Linked DNA regions of Callithrix jacchus. The protein of the gene in region 1 purifies or fractionates together with the protein of each later gene. This does not show direct contact. Links are inferred from orthologs where the notes say so. Each region holds a gene or a part of one and is shown in the gene's direction. Other genes may lie near its edges.

What was found. The genes of interacting proteins can lie anywhere in the genome.
Region 2: the proteins of VAMP8 (region 1) and STX4 purify together in Homo sapiens (affinity purification with western blotting; 3 studies listed by BioGRID and IntAct, with this or other methods). This does not show direct contact. The link is inferred for Callithrix jacchus from reciprocal best matches to the Homo sapiens genes VAMP8 and STX4.

Annotation. Positions count from the first base shown.
Region 1 is NC_133515.1:27,446,362-27,451,390, reverse strand, and holds the start of VAMP8 (vesicle-associated membrane protein 8), read left to right. Parts: upstream 1-1,882; 5' UTR 1,883-1,943; coding exon 1,944-1,946; intron 1,947-3,993; coding exon 3,994-4,152; intron 4,153-5,029. UniProt on the Homo sapiens protein: SNAREs, soluble N-ethylmaleimide-sensitive factor-attachment protein receptors, are essential proteins for fusion of cellular membranes.
Region 2 is NC_133513.1:30,560,193-30,565,197, forward strand, and holds the start of STX4 (syntaxin-4), read left to right. Parts: upstream 1-1,565; 5' UTR 1,566-1,834; coding exon 1,835-1,864; intron 1,865-2,041; coding exon 2,042-2,143; intron 2,144-2,232; coding exon of another isoform or gene 2,233-2,254; coding exon 2,255-2,354; intron 2,355-2,489; coding exon 2,490-2,564; intron 2,565-2,999; coding exon 3,000-3,070; intron 3,071-5,005. UniProt on the Homo sapiens protein: Plasma membrane t-SNARE that mediates docking of transport vesicles. Necessary for the translocation of SLC2A4 from intracellular vesicles to the plasma membrane.

The DNA of each region.
Region 1 (5,029 bases):
ATTAGCTGGGCATGGTGGTGTGCTCCTGCAGTCCCAGCTACTGGGGAGGCTGAAGCAGGAGAATCGCTTGAACCTGGGAGGTGGAGGCTGCAGTGAGCCTAGATAGCACCATTGCACTCCAGCCTGGACGACAAGGGAGAAATGTCTCAAAAAAAAAAAAAAAAAAAAAAAAGTATTTGTGTCTGGAGTCTGGATGTGGTGGCTCACACCTATATTCTCAATACTTTGGGAAGCTGAGGAGGGAGGATTACTTGAGAACAGGAGTTTGAGACCAGCCTTGGCAACATTCTAAGGGTGGTAAAGCCCCTATCTCTACAAAAAGTTAAAAAAAAAAAAAAGCCAGACATGGTGGTTTGCACCTGTAGTTCCAGTTACTCGAGAGTCTAAAACAGGAGGATCGCTGAAGCCTGGGAGTTCAAGGCTGCAGTGAGCTGAGTTCATGCCACTGGACTTTAGCCTGGGTGACAGAGGGAGACCATCTCAAGAAAACAAAACAAAATAAACAAACAAAAAAAGTATTTGTTGGGGAAGCTGACATTTCCTCCTTGGAACTGATTTCTTCTGGAATGGGTCAAGAATGTTCGTTCCCTTCTGAATGTCCCTGTTATTGTTCTTCCGTCTTGATAAACACTGTCAAGGAAGAACAGATTTTCTCTGGCCTAGAGCCAGGTTAGTGGAAAAATCCTTTGCCTTGGGCCCCCTGCTGTGGTCCACTGGGCCAGTCCTCTGATCACTGACTGGGATAAATGACCTCCACAGAGTCCCCTGAAGGGAAATGCAGATTTGCTGAACTCTGGAAGGGAAGAAGGGGATTGTTGGTGAGCCATCATTACGGACACTGTGCTAGAGGCATTGCACTGCACATGCTATCTTTTTGCTTCTTTTTTTTTGAGACGGAGTCTTGCTCTTGTTGCACAGGCTGGAGTGCAATGGCACTATCTCGACTCACTGCAACCTCCACCTCCTTGGTTCAAGCGATTCTCCTGCTTCAGCCTCCCGAGTAGCTGGGATTACAGGCTTGTGCCACCATGCCTGGCTAATTTTTGCATTTTTAGTAGATACGGGGTTTCACCATGTTGGCCAGGGTGGCTTCAATCTCCTGACCTCATGATCTGCCCGCCTCGGCCTCCCAAAGTGCTGGGATTACAGGCGTGAGCCACCGCACCCAGACCTCTTTTTGCTTCTTACCAGCACCATCTTAGCTAAGCATCAACACCTGCCAACTCCGCAGAGGTAAAAAGTTTCACTCAGGGGCCTGCAACTAATAACCCAGAGCTTTCTGACATCAGAGCCCAGGATCACAGTATTCCAGACTTCAGGGGTTTTAGTGCTTTCTGCCACCCAAGGACCTGAGAACGAAAGCTGTCCAGCAAGAAATTTTCATAACTGCATTCTATTTCCCTGTGAACTAGGCCTGGCATGGTTGATCTCGGTGTCTAGAAACTGGAGTCAGATATTCAAGATATAAAAAGGAAATCGCTAGTGGGGCGTCATGGCTCCTAGGACTTTGGAGGTTAAGGTGGGAGGATCGCCTGAGCCCAGAAGTTTGAGACCAGCCTGGGCAACACAATGAGACCTCGTCTCTATTAAAAAAAAAAAAAAAGATATGGCTGCTCTTTCTAGATCAGGAGGTCCAGCCTCAGAAAACCTAGGAGGGCTGCTTGATCTTTCTTTTCTAATTCCTGACAAGTTAGAAGACCTTTGGCATCTGAGAGCCCTTTTGCTTTAAGCTTAAGCTCTTGTTTGGGAAGCCACTGGGAGACTGCGAAGAGTGCCCGCCTACCTGGGGAAACCTGAGTTAGGTGTGGCTGGAGCGACTCGAGATGCGAGGTGGGCGGGGGCAGGCTGAAAGTTGGAGCAAGCAGGAAGTGAGCCGAGGGCCACCCTAGGAGGAAGCCGACGAGGCGAATTCACCTGCTGACCGGCCTGAGCTGCTCTGAGATATGGTGAGAGAACCGGGAACGAGGAAAGGGCTGTTTTAAAGAGGGGCCAGAGGGGGCTCGGGACCGGGGGTTAACTGTGATGGGGGAGGAGAGTTGGTGGCAAAGTTAGAGGGCTGGGCCAGTGCTGCCTGTGGCCTCTCCTCTTTGACAACTTGGCTGCAAATAGCTCTGAGCCGTCCTGGGAGGTGTTCCTACTCCTTTTCCCTCCCTCCCTCCCCTGACCTCTGTGCTCGTCACGAGCTGGGCTTCGGTGCTGGTGCCGACGGGGCTCCGAATTCCAGGCAAATAGTTGTTACGCCTTCCTCCTCCAGGGAGCCCCGAGGCGGGTGTTGTGACGCTACAAGGCAGCGCCCCAGCAGTTCCCAGTTCAGATTCCAACCCAGTGGCAGGAGCTGTCTCGGGCCTTTCACTTTATTCCCACACAGAAACACAAGGGATTTGTGTGTCCACGGAGTCCTTCGGGTGTCCTTTCTCCATTAACGTGAAGAAGAGAACTAAGCGTTTATAAAGAACCAGAAATTGGTTCTCTGTGATAATCCAGTTCTGACCCGTGCCACTGGCTTGTTTTTGGAGGTCAAGGAGGGAGGAGCTTAATAGTATTTTTCTCTCCTTGTTCAAACACTTGGTCATGAAGCTTCCCAGATGAGACATCAGCCAGGGAGGACTAGTCCTCCATTTCCCCCAATGCCAAGATGGGTGTTTTTATTTAGCATCTGCATAAGCAGGCAGTTCCTTGGTACCTGCACGTGGTGCCCAGTGGTGGGGAAAGCAGAAGTGTGTGGCTCAACGGTTCCTGGCGCCTTCTGGGGGACTTGGTTGCCTGTTGCTCTGGGTCACAGCAATGGCATTGTAGCCAGAGCAGGGCTCCAGCAGCTGTCTTGGAGGGACAGATAGGTTGGGCTAGGTGAGGATATTTTGCTGGCCAGCACAGACACTTTCTTTTTTTTTTTTGGCTCGAGTCTGGCTCTGTTGCCGAGGCTGGAGTATAATGGCATAATCTTGGCTCGCGGCAACCTCCACCTTTTTGGTTCAAGCGACTCTCCTGTCTCAGCCTCCGAGTAGCTGGGGTTACAGATACCTGCTACTATACCCAGCTATTATATATATGCGTGTGTGTATATATATATATATGTGTGTGTGTGTGTATGTGTATGTGTATATATATATATATATATATATATATATTTTTTTTTTTTTTTTTTTTTTTTTTTGAGACAGAGTTTCACTGTTGTTACCCAGACTGGAATGCAATGGCACGATCTCAGCTCACCGCAACCTCCGCCTTCTGGGTTCACGCAATTCTCCTGCCTCAGCCTTCCGAGTAGCTGGGACTACAGGCACGCACCACCATGCCCAGCTAATTTTTGTAGTTTTAGTAGAGACGGGGTTTCATCTTGTTGACCAGGATGGTCTCGATCTCTTGACCTTGTGAACCACACGCCTTGGCCTCCCAAAGTGCTGGGATTATAGGTGTGAGCCACCACGCCCGGCCTATTTCTTGTATTTTTAGTAGATATGGGGTTTCACCATGTTGGCCAGGCTGGTCTCAAACTCCTGACCTCATGATCCACACGCCCCATCCTCCCAAAGTGCTGGGATTACAGGCCAAGCCACCACACCTAGCACAGACACTTTCAATGAGGATCCAGAGAAATCAGGAAAGGGGGGGTGGCTCCAGGCATTGTAAATAGTGGTGGGCTCTGCCCTGGCGGGGAACACTGTGAGATGCAATGCGGCTCTGCTGTATTCTATGGCCCTCTTTAGGGAGCAAGGAAGCAGTGGGGAGGGATTTAGTGATGTGCTGCTTTTCCTTGTCAGGGGCCCAAAAAGGAGTTTGATCCAGTCTGTTTAGCATCACATCTCACCTTCTGAGGCTTACAAATGCATTTATTTTTTATTACACAATACATGAAAACATTCTCTTTGTAAACATTTCAAGCATTTTACAAAAAGCTAAAGTCTGCCTGAGGCCTTACACTCCCCAGACCTCTGAGGCCAATTCTCCAGTTCCCCCAGCACTTGTTCTAATTAACCCCATGTTGCTGTGCAGGAGGAAGGCAGTGAAGGTGGAGGAAATGATCGCGTAAGGAACCTGCAGAGTGAGGTGGAGGGAGTTAAGAATATCATGACCCAGAATGTGGAGCGGATCCTGGCCCGAGGGGAAAACTTGGAGCATCTCCGCAACAAGACAGAGGATCTGGAAGCCACAGTGAGGACGGGAAACCCACTGGGGGTTGGAGGAAAAGAGGGAGGAAGGGAATTTCTTTTTGGTGGGGCAAAATAAACACGAGGGCCAGAAGTTAGCCATTTCTGTTGCTTTTCACCAGGTTTGGGAGCTGATATGAGCAGTCTCTACTTCTGAATCTGCTCTGATCCACAGATTGTTAGGGATCCCAGGGAATGGATCCCATGACTGGGGCTTGAGGTGGCAGCTCGCCCATAGAGGCATGTTCTGAGACCAATAGCTCAGTCAGCCCCTGCATTCTTAGGATTCTCTCCTGGGAAACTGAATTTCCCTTTGAAGCCTGCCCAAGACAATCATTTGCATCTGACCTTCCCAGGGCAGAAATATTGGCTCTGAGGAAACTCCCCTATGGCCTCTAGCCTTCTCTAGGAGCTATTAGGCAAAGGGTGAGAAATTGCTGGCATCTTGGTAAGTTGGCTTTAAAAACAAGCTGGAAAGAGCAGTAAAATGCTTTGATCCCAGGGTCCCCTGCTAGATGAAGGCTAGAATAATATCTCCCACACATCTTGCTAGACCTCATTCCTCTCTCCAGCCAGGGGCTGAGGCCAGCTGTTTCAGGGAGGAAGTAACTCCAAAGTTGAGCAAAGCCTGGAGCCTCAGGTTCTGTGTTCGGGGAGAGGCCTGCTCTGGCTTTCTGAGTTCTGTGTGAACTCCTGGCCCTTGAGTACTGCTCCCTTGTCTCCCTGGGACTCAGTGCCTGTTTCTGCAGCTTAAACGTAGCTTAATTTGGAGAGCACAGCCTAGGGACTTTTTTTTTTTGAGACGGAGTCTTACTCTGTTGCTGAGGATAGAAGTGAGCTCAGAGGCACAATCTTGGGTGACTGCAACCTTCACCTCCTAG
Region 2 (5,005 bases), on another chromosome or scaffold:
TCACTGAAGTTTAGAGCAGGGGATACCTATAATGATCTCTCCATCCCCCTAGTTACCCACTGTACAGAGGGAGATCAAGGCTTAGAGACAGGAAGCGATTTCCAGAAGTCCATAGCAACTCAGTCCCAGGAATCTAGGCTTCCTGACCAGGTCATAGCAGAAAGGGTCCATTCCTTCCCCTACTTGTACCTTCACAGAAGCTTCCTGGAGAGCCCTGGGTTCCAGGAGTCCATTATTCATTCCTGGCTATGCTGAGACTTGCTGAGTGACCTTGGGGACTCCTCCTAGAGAATGTAAGTTTGACGAGTGCAGGAATTTTTGTCTATTAGTCCCTGATATGTCTCCAAGTCTAGAACAGTGTTTGGTCCATAGTATGTGCCCAATAAATATCCATTAAGCGAATTAATGTTGCCTGTAATCCCAGCACTTTGGGAGGCTGAGGCAGGATTGCTTGAGCCCGAGAGTTCGAGACCAGCTTGGGCAACATAATGAGACCTCACCTCATGAAAATTTTTAAAAATAAAAAACGAGTGAATATCTAGATAGCCAGGGTTAGGGAAGTGTTACAGTCAGAAAGTCTGAAACCCAAAGAAGACCAGGAAACTGGGGGCTTTATCCTGAGATACATGAAAGGCTAAAATTTTGTGCACAGTTATTTACAGAGGGCCCATTATGTGCTTGGTAGTGAGCTAGGAACTCCCCAGATTCAGTTAAGAACGAAGTCATGACCTGATCTCAGATGTAAGGTAGGGGCTGGGGGGTGTGAGTGGTAGGGAGGCAGCGTGCTCAACAATACAGACACTTTTCTTAGCCTGAGCTGCCCTGACATGGTCTGACTGCTCAGAGGTGGTGAGTGCAGCCGGGCTGCCATGTTCAAGGAGGGCGCCGGCCGCCCACCTACCAGAGGCTGCGCCAGGAGGATGCGGGAGATTTCTGCCTTGGGTGAGGTCACCTCCCACCCCCAGATTCCCTGCTCACACAACCCTGCAATTTTCTGACGCTGACGGCTCGGATATTATTTCCCGATTTTCGAGGTCCCATGATGCTGACAGCCCCAAATGCTAAGTGGTCTGCCCACGTTCCTGGACCCGAAAGCAATAAAGGCGAAGTCATCAAGGGTACACCCACCCACTGCCTCAAAAGGCCTCTGGGGGTGGTCGGCGCGCCCCTCCCCACCTCGCGGGGGCTGTGTGGGCGTCGTTCGGTCGCTGGGGTGCCGGGGACTTCGTGATGAGAACGGCGTCCCAGAGACCGCGGTGACAGAGCCGGGACACGTGACAGTCACAGCGTCACGTTCTGCGGTCCGCGAGTTTGGGAACGGGCTGGTCACGTGATGCAGTGGGGGCATCATGGGGTGATATGAGATGCGGGTGTCTCGGCTTACGTACAAATGACGTACTCCTACGCCTTTTGGCAACCAGATTTCCGTTGGAAGTTGCAACGGTTCCGGTGAGGGGGGCGGGTTCTCGCGTCCAGGCAGCTCCGTTTCCGCTCGGGGCGCAACAACTTCCGACTCCGCCTTCCCCCTCCGGCGAGGAAGAGACGCGACCTTGTGCGCATGCCCCGAATTTATCACGGAGGGGCGGGGCTGAGGCTGAGAGAGCAAGAGAGGGGAAGAAAAGGGAATTCCAACCTGTGGAACCTTAGTGGTCCCCGGGGTCGGCTCCTTCCCATTGACTGTGGGTGGTGCAAGGGACAGAGCGTCTGGCGGCTTGTGGGGGTGTTGAGGTCCGCACCGGGAGGGAGGGGAGTGTCAGAGTGTGAGTGGGGTACGGGAATTCCAAACTTGAGGGCCTCCTGGCTCAGGCGCCGAGGAGGGAGAGCTCAGGCCGCCATGCGGGACAGGACCCACGAGCTGAGGCAGGTGAGACATGGGGGCAGTGGAGATGTTGAGGGGCGGACGAACTGGAACGCAGGACTCCTGATCTTCAGGGCGGGGAGGGATGGCTGATGGCCAGGAAGGAAAGTCCCGGAAGCCTGTGGGTCGTGCGGGGTGAGAGCCGCAGCGAAACAGTGGTACCAATGACTCCGGGCCTCGCAGGGGGATGACAGCTCGGACGAAGAGGACAAGGAGCGGGTCGCGCTGGTGGTGCACCCGGGCATGGCACGGCTGGGGAGCCCGGACGAGGAGTTCTTCCAGAAGGTAAGGGGCTGGGGTCTCTGCCTGGATTCGCGAGGGGGTAGGAAGACCCGAGGACCAGCGTGGTCTGGAGTACCCCATATCTCTTTCAGCCCTCTCGGTCACCCTCCCCAGGTCCGGGCAATTCGGCAGACTATTGTCAAACTGGGGAATAAAGTCCAGGAGTTGGAGAAACAGCAGGTCACCATCTTGGCCACGCCCCTTCCCGAGGAGAGTGAGTGAAACTCCGACTGCAGGGCGCATGCACCACCTTAGGGATTGTGGGGGTTGTAGTCCCACATAGGTGATTGCCAGGGTGGTTTGTTGAGGTGGGAGCTGCTGTTCGGAGTCGTGGTCTTCTCTTATTCAGGCATGAAGCAGGACTTGCAGAACCTGCGCGATGAGATCAAACAGCTGGGGAGGGAGATCCGCCTGCAGCTGAAGGGTGAGCTCCTGGGACCTCAGACAGATCCTTCCCTTTGATCCTGCCCTGTTGTTGGTGTATCTGGGGAGTGTGTGGCCCAGAGAAGCCGATGATATAACCAGGTCACACAGCAGGCCTGGGTCTAGCATCTCTGTCTCCTGGCCTCCAGGCCATTGTACTCTCCACAGGACAAGCCGGCCTCTCAGGTTCTTTTATTTACAATGTAACCATTTACTTACACAGTTATTGCAGCCCACTGGGCATTCTTTGGGCAAGAGGATGGGGTTTTGTTAGGTGGCCTCTGCATACCTATGGGAACTCAGTGATGTAATGCAAAGAAAAATAAACGTACTTTCTCCTCTTGGAGGCTCAGCCTTAGTCATTTTATGATAAATTATATTTCCCTAAAAATCCATGGAAACAAGTACCCCCAGTACTCCATGTGTCTTCCCACAGCCATAGAGCCCCAGAAGGAGGAAGCTGATGAGAACTATAACTCCGTCAACACAAGAATAAGAAAAACCCAGGTGGGTTTTTTTTTCTCAGAAATGAGGACATTTCAGCAAATGTTTCATGAAGTACTGGATGACAGATGTATGAAGGAAGGGCCTGCAGAGATGGTGGAGTCCAGCGGAATGATTTTCCAAATGGGGAAACTGAACTCAGAGAAAGAACTTGCTCAAAGTCAGGAAACCAGGTCTCCTGATGCTTAGTCCGATTATAATACCCTGCTTTATTTTCTTTCATTCAATAAGAAGTTGCTATGACCCCAGACAAGACCTAGGTTTGGCTGTAGGGACACATGTTTCTTTTACTTTTTTTGCCTCAGCCTCCTGAATAGCTGGGATTACAGGCAGACATCACCATGCCTGGCTAATTTTTGTGTTTTTAGTAGAGATGGGGTTTCACCATGTTGACCAGGCTGGTCTTGAACTCCTGACCTCAGGGGACACTCCTGTCTCAGCCTCTAAAGTGCTGGAATTATAGGTGTGAGCCACCATGCCTGGCTGGGACACATATTTTCTAGGAGTCAAGATGAGGAGTTCAGGTTCAATAAGGACAAAGACATTACTCACGTAGGACTTGGTGATAATGGTGCTGCCCAGGGAAAGAGAGAAGTCATAAATGACTGGCAGCTTTCCTGCCTATGTGACAGGGAGTCCTTAGTCCCACAGGCAGAATTCAAGAAGGCAGGAAGAGGAACTTCCCTGGGGCGACACTGAAGAGGAACTTCCCTGGTGTGATATCTTATATTTTTAATTATTATTTTTTTGAGATGGAGTCTTGCTCTGTCACCCAGGCTGGAGTACAGTGGCAGGATCTCGGCTCACTGCAACGTCTACCATCTGGATTCAAGCTGTTCTCCTGCCTTAGCCTCCCAAGTAGCTGGGATTGCAGGTGTGCACTACCACACCTGGCTAATTTTTTTATATTTTTGGTAGAAATGACGTTTCACCATGTTGGCCAGGCTTGTCTTGAACTCCTGACCTCAAGTGACCTACCTGCTGTGGCTTCCCAAAATGCTACGATTACAGGTGTGAGCCACTGTACCTGGCCTTTGGGGTGATGTGACTGGCCCTCTCTGGGTCCCCAGTGAAAAGTACTTTAGGATTCTAGGAGGTCAGGGTTGGAAGTTAGGCCCAGGGTTGGAAGTGAGGACCCCAGATTGAAGATGGAGCAACTTGGGCATCTTGGAAGGGTGCAGCCGGATCCAGGAGAGTAGATGTATCTCTGGAAACGAAACTCCAAGGAACGAACATATTTAAGGCCTCAGGAGAAGGGGCAAGGCAGAGCAGATGACCTATAGCCAGTGCTTCTGGGGTAACCTGTGGTGCTGATTGGCATGAGAGGTCAAGGGCCCATGTGGGCTTGTTGCACCTGTTTTGCCTGGGCGGCATGTTCATCTCTAGGCTTATGAGCACAGTTGTGGTATAAGCAGCAAGGTTGGCATTCAGCAAGTGCCAGACCCTTTTGGAACTGTTTAGGATACAGCAGTGAACCAATGATCCCTTTCATCATGGAACTTCCATTCTGGTGTAGAGAAACAATCACCATAATACATAAGTGAATTATTTAGACATAATAAGCATTATGGAAAAAAGAGCAGAGGAAGAGGGACTGAGTATGCTGGAGAAGAGTACAGATGCAATTTAAATCAGGTGGAAGAACTTCATTCAGAAGGTAACATTTGAACAAAAGATTTAAAGGTGTTTGTGGAGAATGAGCATTCTAGGCAGAAGGAGAAGCAAAGACAAAGGCCTGAGCTGGGAGTCTGCTTTGTCTAGGGAGGGGTAAGGAGACCAGTGGGGAGGGAGGGAGGGAACATGAGGAGGAAGTAAGATCAAAGAGGTCAAGGGGAAAGGAGAGATCATAGAGGGCGCCGGCCGGTGCTGTAGCTCATGCCTATAATCCCAGCACTTGGGGAGACTCAGGTCAGAGGATTACTTGAGCCCAGGAGTTCG